Linked DNA regions of Anolis sagrei. Each later gene encodes a partner of the first gene's protein in a complex. Links are inferred from orthologs where the notes say so. Each region holds a gene or a part of one and is shown on either strand. Other genes may lie near its edges.

What was found. Proteins that work in one complex are often made in the same cells at the same time.
Region 2: the proteins of MICALL1 (region 1) and EHD1 are in contact, whole or in part, in an NMR structure (PDB 2KSP), measured with the Homo sapiens proteins. The link is inferred for Anolis sagrei from reciprocal best matches to the Homo sapiens genes MICALL1 and EHD1. Residues at the interface, in NP_203744.1 of Homo sapiens: Lys422, Tyr424, Asn425, Pro426, Phe427, Glu428, Glu429; in NP_001269373.1 of Homo sapiens: Gly464, Ala467, Lys468, Met471, Asn478, Leu481, Gly482, Trp485, Lys486, Lys492, Asp493, Gly494.

The regions. Positions count from the first base shown.
Region 1 is NC_090025.1:164,612,361-164,616,112, forward strand, and holds the start of MICALL1 (MICAL-like protein 1), read right to left. Parts: upstream 2,820-3,752; 5' UTR 2,610-2,819; coding exon 2,464-2,609; intron 1-2,463. UniProt on the Homo sapiens protein: Lipid-binding protein with higher affinity for phosphatidic acid, a lipid enriched in recycling endosome membranes. On endosome membranes, acts as a downstream effector of Rab proteins recruiting cytosolic proteins to regulate membrane tubulation.
Region 2 is NC_090032.1:20,366,979-20,370,730, reverse strand, and holds the start of EHD1 (EH domain-containing protein 1), read right to left. Parts: upstream 2,370-3,752; 5' UTR 2,184-2,369; coding exon 2,165-2,183; intron 1-2,164. UniProt on the Homo sapiens protein: ATP- and membrane-binding protein that controls membrane reorganization/tubulation upon ATP hydrolysis. In vitro causes vesiculation of endocytic membranes. Acts in early endocytic membrane fusion and membrane trafficking of recycling endosomes.

The DNA.
Region 1 (3,752 bases):
AGGGATGAACTTTGATTTTTACAATATAACCAAAACAGGGGGATTAGTAAGTGGTCTGAGAGCCAGCATCGTGCAGTGGTTTGAGTTTTGGACTAGGATTGGAATCAGGGTTCGAATCCCTGCTCAGTCATGGAAACCCATTCAGTGACCATAAGCAAGTCACACTCTCTCAACCTAAGAGGAAGACAAGGCCAAGCCCTCTCTGAGGCCCCTTCTACACTGCCATATAATCCAGATCATCAAAACAGATGGTCCACATTATCTGCTTTGAACTGGATTAAATGAGTCTACACTGCTTTATAATCCAGTTCAAAGCAGATCATCTGAATTTTATATGGCAGTATAGAAGGGGCCTGAGCCAATGTTTCCAAGAAAGCCCTGTAGGAGATCTGCTTTAGGGTCAATGTAAATTGGAAAGGATATTAAAGCACACAACAACAACAAAAACAACAACACCTATTACTGAAACTCTCCACAATTTCCAAGAAAAGAAAAGGTTTGGACTGGAGGCAAAACATTGTCCTTTCTTAAATCAGTTCTATTTGCAGAACCTCTAATTACACTGTGGGAGAACTGTGAAATAGAAACTGGCTTATCATACAAAACCTCTTTCAGTGTCCCTCCACATTTTGCTGCAATCTTTTAAGGAATCTAGAGTCCTCCTTATTGCTAATTAATGGCTGTGGAGTAGAAAGGTGTGGCTAGGGCTACATCTCTACACTGTGGAATGAATGCAGTTTGATGTCACTTTACACGCTATGGCTCAAAGCTATGGAATCCTGTGGGTGGTAGATTTACAAAGTCTTGTCTGGCAAAATGTGCTACTGCATTCAGCCATGGCAGTTAAAGTGATGCCGAACTGCATTAATTCTACAGCATAGAGCAGGCTGTTAGGAATTGTAGGGGTTGAAGTCCAAAACACCTGGAGGGCCCAAGTTTGCCCAGGCCAGGATACACCCTGGATACACTTCAGGTGTTTTGGTCTACCGACTGTTAGGAATTGTGGGAGTTGAAATCCAAAACACTTGGCGGGCTGAAGTTTGCCCAACCCTGGATACACTTGAGGTGTTGTGGACTACCGGTTATTAGGAATTGTGGGAGTTAAAGTCCAAAACACTTGGAGGACCCAAGTTTGCCCAGGCCTGGATACACCCTGGATATACTCCAGGTGTTCTGGACTACCGGCTATTAGGAATTGTGGGAGTTGAAGTCCAAAATACCTGGATGGCCCAAGTTTGCCCAGGCCTTGATACACCCTAGATACCCTCCAGGTGTTTTGGACTACTGGCTGTTCGGGATTATGGGAGCTGAAGTCCAAAACACTTGGAGGACCCAAGTTTGCCCATGCCTAGATAGGATACACCCTGAATATACTCCTGGTGTTTTGGACTACTGGCTGTTAGGAATTATGGGAGTTGAAGTCCAAAATACCTGGAGGGTCCAAGTTTGCCCAGGCCCGGATACACTTGAGGTGTTTTGGACTACCGGTTATTAGGAATTGTAGGGGTGGAAGTCCAAAACACCTGGAGGGCCCAAGTTTGCCCAGACCAGAATACACCCTAGATACACTTCAGGTGTTTTGGTCTACCGACTGTTAGGAATTGTGGGAGTTGAAATCCAAAACACTTGGCGGGCCGAAGTTTGCCCAGGCCTGAATACACTTGAGGTGTTCTGGACTACCGGTTATTGGGAATTGTGGGAGTTAAAGTCCAAAACACTTGGAGGACCCAAGTTTTCCCAGGCCTAGATACACCTTGGATATACTCCAGGTGTTTTGAACTACTGGCTGTTAGGAATTGTGGGAGTTAAAGTCCAGAACACTTGGGAGAACTGAAGTTTGCCTATGCCTGGATACACCCTAGATACCCTCCAGGTGTTTTGGACTACTGGCTGTTAAGAATTCTGGGAGTTGAAGTCCAAAACACCTGGCAGGTCCAAGTTTGCCCAGGCATAGATACACTTCAGGTGTTTTGGACTACTGGCTGTTAGGAATTGTGGGAGTTGTAGTCCAAAACACCTGGAGGGCTGAAGTTTGTCCATGTCTGGATACACCTTGGGTCCTGGCAGAAATATTAGGGATTCTGGGAGCTGAAGTCCAAAACACCTGAAGGATCAACGCTTCAACACAATATCACACTTTAGGGCTGCTTAATAAATAGGAATATCTCGTTTCTCTCTTCTTAAGTCCTCTTGGGAGTGTGTCCCAAACTCCAAAGGACTTCAACTCCCAGAAGCCTCGGCTGCTCCGTCCAACGATGGAGGATTCTGGGACCTGGAGTCTAAGACACCTATGTAGGGCTGCACCTTTCCCCCTTTGCCTCACGAATAGGGTCCCCTTCCTTCTCCCTCAGCCCTCTCAGAGGAGCAACTGCTTGCCGAAGAGGTTGCCCCCAGCGCCGGCCGTTCCATCTAAGCGAGCCCGGGGCTTCTGTTGGGGCCTAGTGGCGGAACGGGTGAACTCACAGCAAGTCGGGCCGGTGCCGGTGGAGGATGGCGCAGAAGGCGAGACCGTCTCTGAAGGAGCTGCTGAGGTCCCGGACCTCGACGCCGGGGTAGCCCTCGCACTGGCGGCGGCACCAGGCCTGCAAGGCGCTGCGCGGGCCCGACATGGACTCCAGCCTCCTCCGCGCTTCTCCTGGCTCTCCTCTCTTCTCCGCTACTCCCGGAGGGAGGCTCCCTCTCCTCCCGCCCAGGAAGGGCGCCGCAGGGCTCTGCTCAGACCTGTCCCGCCGGCGGACGCGGAGCCTCCCTCTCCGCCCATCGCCCGCAGCGGCAGAGCAGCGCTCCTCTGCGGAGGAGGCTTAGTCATATCACAGGAGGAGGAGGAGGAGAAAGAGCCAACTGGGGAGAGGGAGCAGCAGGCCCACTTCACTTCAGTCTGGGTTATTTATTTTTATATTCATACCTAGATGCATTGGACATGTTGTTAAATACTAAACAAAGGGGTGTGTGTATATATACACACATCAGGCCTGGGCAAACTTGGGCCCCTAGGTGTTTTGGACTTCAACTCCCACAATTCCTAGCAGCCGGTAGGCTGCTAGGAATTGTGGGAGTTGAAGTCCAAAACACCTGGAGGGCCCAAGTTTGCCCAGGCCTTATATACATACATGCATCAAGAGGGATAGGAAGTTCAGGATCAGGAAGGATCTGTACCAGGCCTGGGCAAACTTGGGCCCTTCCAGGTGTTTTGGACTTCCACTCCCACAATTCCCATCAGCCTACCGGCTGCCATGTACAGGTAGATTCCAATAGGCTTGTGCATTTCAGCTGAATTATTTATTTACTGCAGTAGTTCCCAACCTTTTTTAAGCAGGGACAACATTGACCAGGGACTGCTTTGGCCAGGGACCGCTTTGACCACGGACCTCATGAACAGGGGCTGCATTGACCAGGGACCGCTTTGACCAACGACCTCTTTGACCAGGGACCGCATTGACCAGGGACTGCTTTGACCAATGACCGCTTTGACCAAGGACCGCTTTGACCAGAGACCACTTGACCAGGGACCTCTTTGACCAGAGATGCATTGACCAGGGACCTCTTCACCAGGGACCACTTTGACCAACCACTTTGACCAGGGAGCACTTGAACAGGGACCTCTTTGACCAGGGACCCCTTTACCAGGGACTGCATTGACCAGGGACCCCTTCACCAGAGACCACTTGACCAGGGACCACATGAACAGGAACCATTTGAACAGGGAGCACATGACCAGGAAGCACATGACCAAGGACCTCTTTGACCAAGGA
Region 2 (3,752 bases), on another chromosome or scaffold:
ACGTCATTCTTCCCGCCCAAGGGATGTAAGGGGGGGTGCCAAAAAGTAACTTCCATGGGATAGGAGTCCTAAAAAGTAACTTCCAAGGGCTGGAGGTCTTAAAAAGTAATTTTTATGGGATGGGGGTCCTAAAAAAAGTAACTTTTATGGGATAGGAGTCCTAAAAAGTAACTTCCAAGGGATGGAGGTCTAAACAAAGTAACTTTAATGGATGGGTGGTCATAAAAAGTAACTTCCATGGGACAGGAGACCTAAAAAGTAACTTCCAAGGGCTGGAGATCGAAAAAAGTAACTTTCGAGGGATGGAAGGGGGTCCTAAAAAGTAACTTCCATTGGATAGGAGTCCTAAAAATTAATATCCAAGGACTGGAGGGTCTGAAAAAAGGAGTTTCCAAGAGAAGGGGTTCCTAAAAAGTAACTTCCAAGGGCTGGAGATCTTTAAAAAGTAATTTTCATTAGATGGGAGGTCCTAAAAAGCAACTTCCAAGGGATGGAGGTGTAAAAAAGTAACTTTTATGGGATGGGAGTCCTAAAAAGTAATTTCCAAGTGCTGGAGGTCTAAGCAAAGTAACTTTCATGGGATGGGAGTCCTGAAAAGTAACTTCCAAGGGATGGAGGTCTAAAAAAGTAACTTTCATGGGATGGAAGGAGGTCCTAAAAAGCAACTTCCATGGGATAGGAGTCCTAAAAAGTAACTTCCAAGGGCTGGAGGTCTAAAAAAAAGGAACTTTCATGGAATGGGGGGATCCTAAAAAGTAACTTCCATGGAATAGGAGTCCTAAAAAGTAACTTCCAAGGGCTGGATGTCTAAAAAAAGTAACTTCCATGGGCCGGAGGTCTAAAGGAAGTAACTTTCATGGGATGGGGGGACGGGGCCCTAAAAATAACTTTCATGGGATGGGAGTCCTGAAAAGTAACTTCAAAGGGCTGGAGGTCTAAAAAAAATGAACTTCCATGGAAAGGGGGGATCCTAAAATGTAACTTCCAAGGGAATGGGGGGGGGGTCCTAAAAAGTAACTTCCAATGGAATGGGGGGGTCCTAAAAAGTAAGTTCCAATGGAATGGGGGGTCCTAAAAAGTAACTTCCAAGGGAATGGGGGGGTCCTAAAAAGTAACTTCCAAGGGAATGGGGGGATCCTAAAAAGTAACTTCCAATGGAATGGGGGTCCTAAAAAGTAACTTCCAAGGGAATGGGGGGGTCCTAAAAAGTAACTTCCAAGGGAATGGGGGGGTCCTAAAAAGTAACTTCCAATGGAATGGGGGGGGTCCTAAAAAGTAAGTTCCAATGGAATGGGGGGTCCTAAAAAGTAACTTCCAATGGAATGGGGGTCCTAAAATGTAACTTCCAAGGGAATGGGGGGGGGTCCTAAAAAGTAACTTCCAAGGGAATGGGGGGTCCTAAAAAGTAACTTCCAAGGGAATGGGGGTGGTCCTAAAAAGTAACTTCCAAGGGAATGGGGGGGTCCTAAAAAGTAACTTCCAAGAGAATGGGGGGTCCTAAAAAGTAATTCCCAAGGGAATGGGGGGATCCTAAAAAGTAACTTCCAAGGGAATGGGTGGTCCTAAAAAGTAACTTCCAAGGGAATGGGGGTACAAAAAAGTAACTTCCAAGGGAATGGGGGGGGTCCTAAAAAGTAACTTCCAAGGGCTGGAGGTCTGAAAAAAGTAACTTCCAAAGGAATGGGGGGGGTCCTAAAAAGTAACTTCCAAGGGCTGGAGGTCTGAAAAAAGTAACTTCTAAGGGAGGCCTGGGCCAAGAGGTGTCTACAGACAACAGGCTCCTTGGCTTGGAAATGGAACGCGAGCGCCTCCTCCTGGCCAGAGTTGAGCACTGCCTTCAGCACGCCGGAAATGAAAGGGGAAGCCTTTACCTTTGTGTATTTGTCATATCATCGCTATTCCGCTGTATTCAAGCCTTGACTGGCTTTTTCTAATATTTTCACAAACCCCGATGACATCTAGACACTTGATAATCCAAGAATATACACAGAAAGGCAAACTTTCAATGCCTTGGAGACAGTGGAATAACAATAACATGTAAATACACAAAGGTAGAGGCTTCCCCTTTCATTTCCGGCTTATTATTGGAATAGAATGAGTATTATTGGAATCGGTAGTTCACCCCATTGAATTCCTACTGAAACACACAAATTCGGAGGGTCACCTGAGGTCCCTTCGTCCATTTCGGCTCCTTCATGTGTTCTTTCAGCATCAGCGGTTGAGCCGGAACCCGGCTTCTTTGTGAACAGGGCCGGGTTCTAGAACCGGGGTTCTAGAACCTTGAGAATTTCCTTCCCTTCTTCGCATGAGAGGTGTTTTGGACTTCCAACTCCCAGAATGACTACTACAACTAATAATCATCATCATAATTAATAATCATAATAATAATTAATAATAATAATTACTACTACTACTACAACTAAGAGGTGTTTTGGACTTCCAACTCCCAGAATTACTACTACTAATAATAATCATCATAATTAATAATAATAAATAATAATAATAATAATTACTACTACTACTACAACTAAGAGGTGTTTTGGACTTCCAACTCCCAGAATTACTACTACTACTAATAATAATAATAATAATTAATAATAATAATTACTACTACTACTACAACTAAGAGGTGTTTTGGACTTCCAACTCCCAGAATTACTACTACTAATAATAATAATAATAATAATTAATAATAATAATTACTACTACTACTACAACTAAGAGGTGTTTTGGACTTCCAACTCCCAGAATTACTACTACTAATCATCATCATCATCATAATTAATAATAATAATTAATAATAATAATTACTACTACTACTACAACTAAGAGGTGTTTTGGACTTCCAACTCCCAGAATTACTACTACAACTAATAATAATAATCATAATTAATAATAATAATAATAATAATAATTACTACTACTACTACTGATGCAGAGCATCTCCCCCCCCCCCCCCCCAAGTATTTGAAGTTCGCCAAGGGCCGGAAAATGGATTCTGCTGCTTCCTGACCCAGCGCACATAACTGGGTTCCTGTTTCCTCTCTGTGAATTCTCTGGCTTGTGCACTGGACCCTGGCCCCTGATCAGGGAAATGTAGTTCTCCAAAGGACATTGCCCCACTCTCCACCATTTGCGGACTCTTTGCGAACCTTTCTGCCCTCACTGATTGACTTAATGCCCTAGCATCACGGACTTCCTCCCTGAACTCCAAAAGCCAAGCCGCTTCTGAAGTATGGCCCCCGCCTGTGGGTGCATGCCCTTGTTGCAAAGGATCATACCTCAGGAACTCTGCTGATTGCCTTTATTAATTGCTGTGGGTTTTCTAATAAACTTCGCTGGGATGGGGATCTTTCCTATGAAATCTATGAGTTATGAAAGACTGTGAAGAATATATATATGAAGTATATGATATGTAATGAGGTGAAATGAAATAAGATGTACCCTCACCCCTCTCCTTGCCTTCCCCCTCTTGAACTTTACCCTATAAAAGAATATGTGACCTGGGGATTACAGTTAAGGAAATCCAATTTCCTTGGAAGAAACTCCATCCATACTGACAATGCATGGACAAATGCTGGCAAATCTATGGCTTTGTTTTTCAGAGTCAGACAAACAAGGGCCAGAGATTTTGTCAGCCAAAAGCCCGGAAAAACAGACTGATTAAATCAATCATGGTGCTTGTGTATGCTCCCTTGTGTCAAAGGATTTCCTTTGCCTACAGGGTTGAGATCCAGACACCACCCATAGCC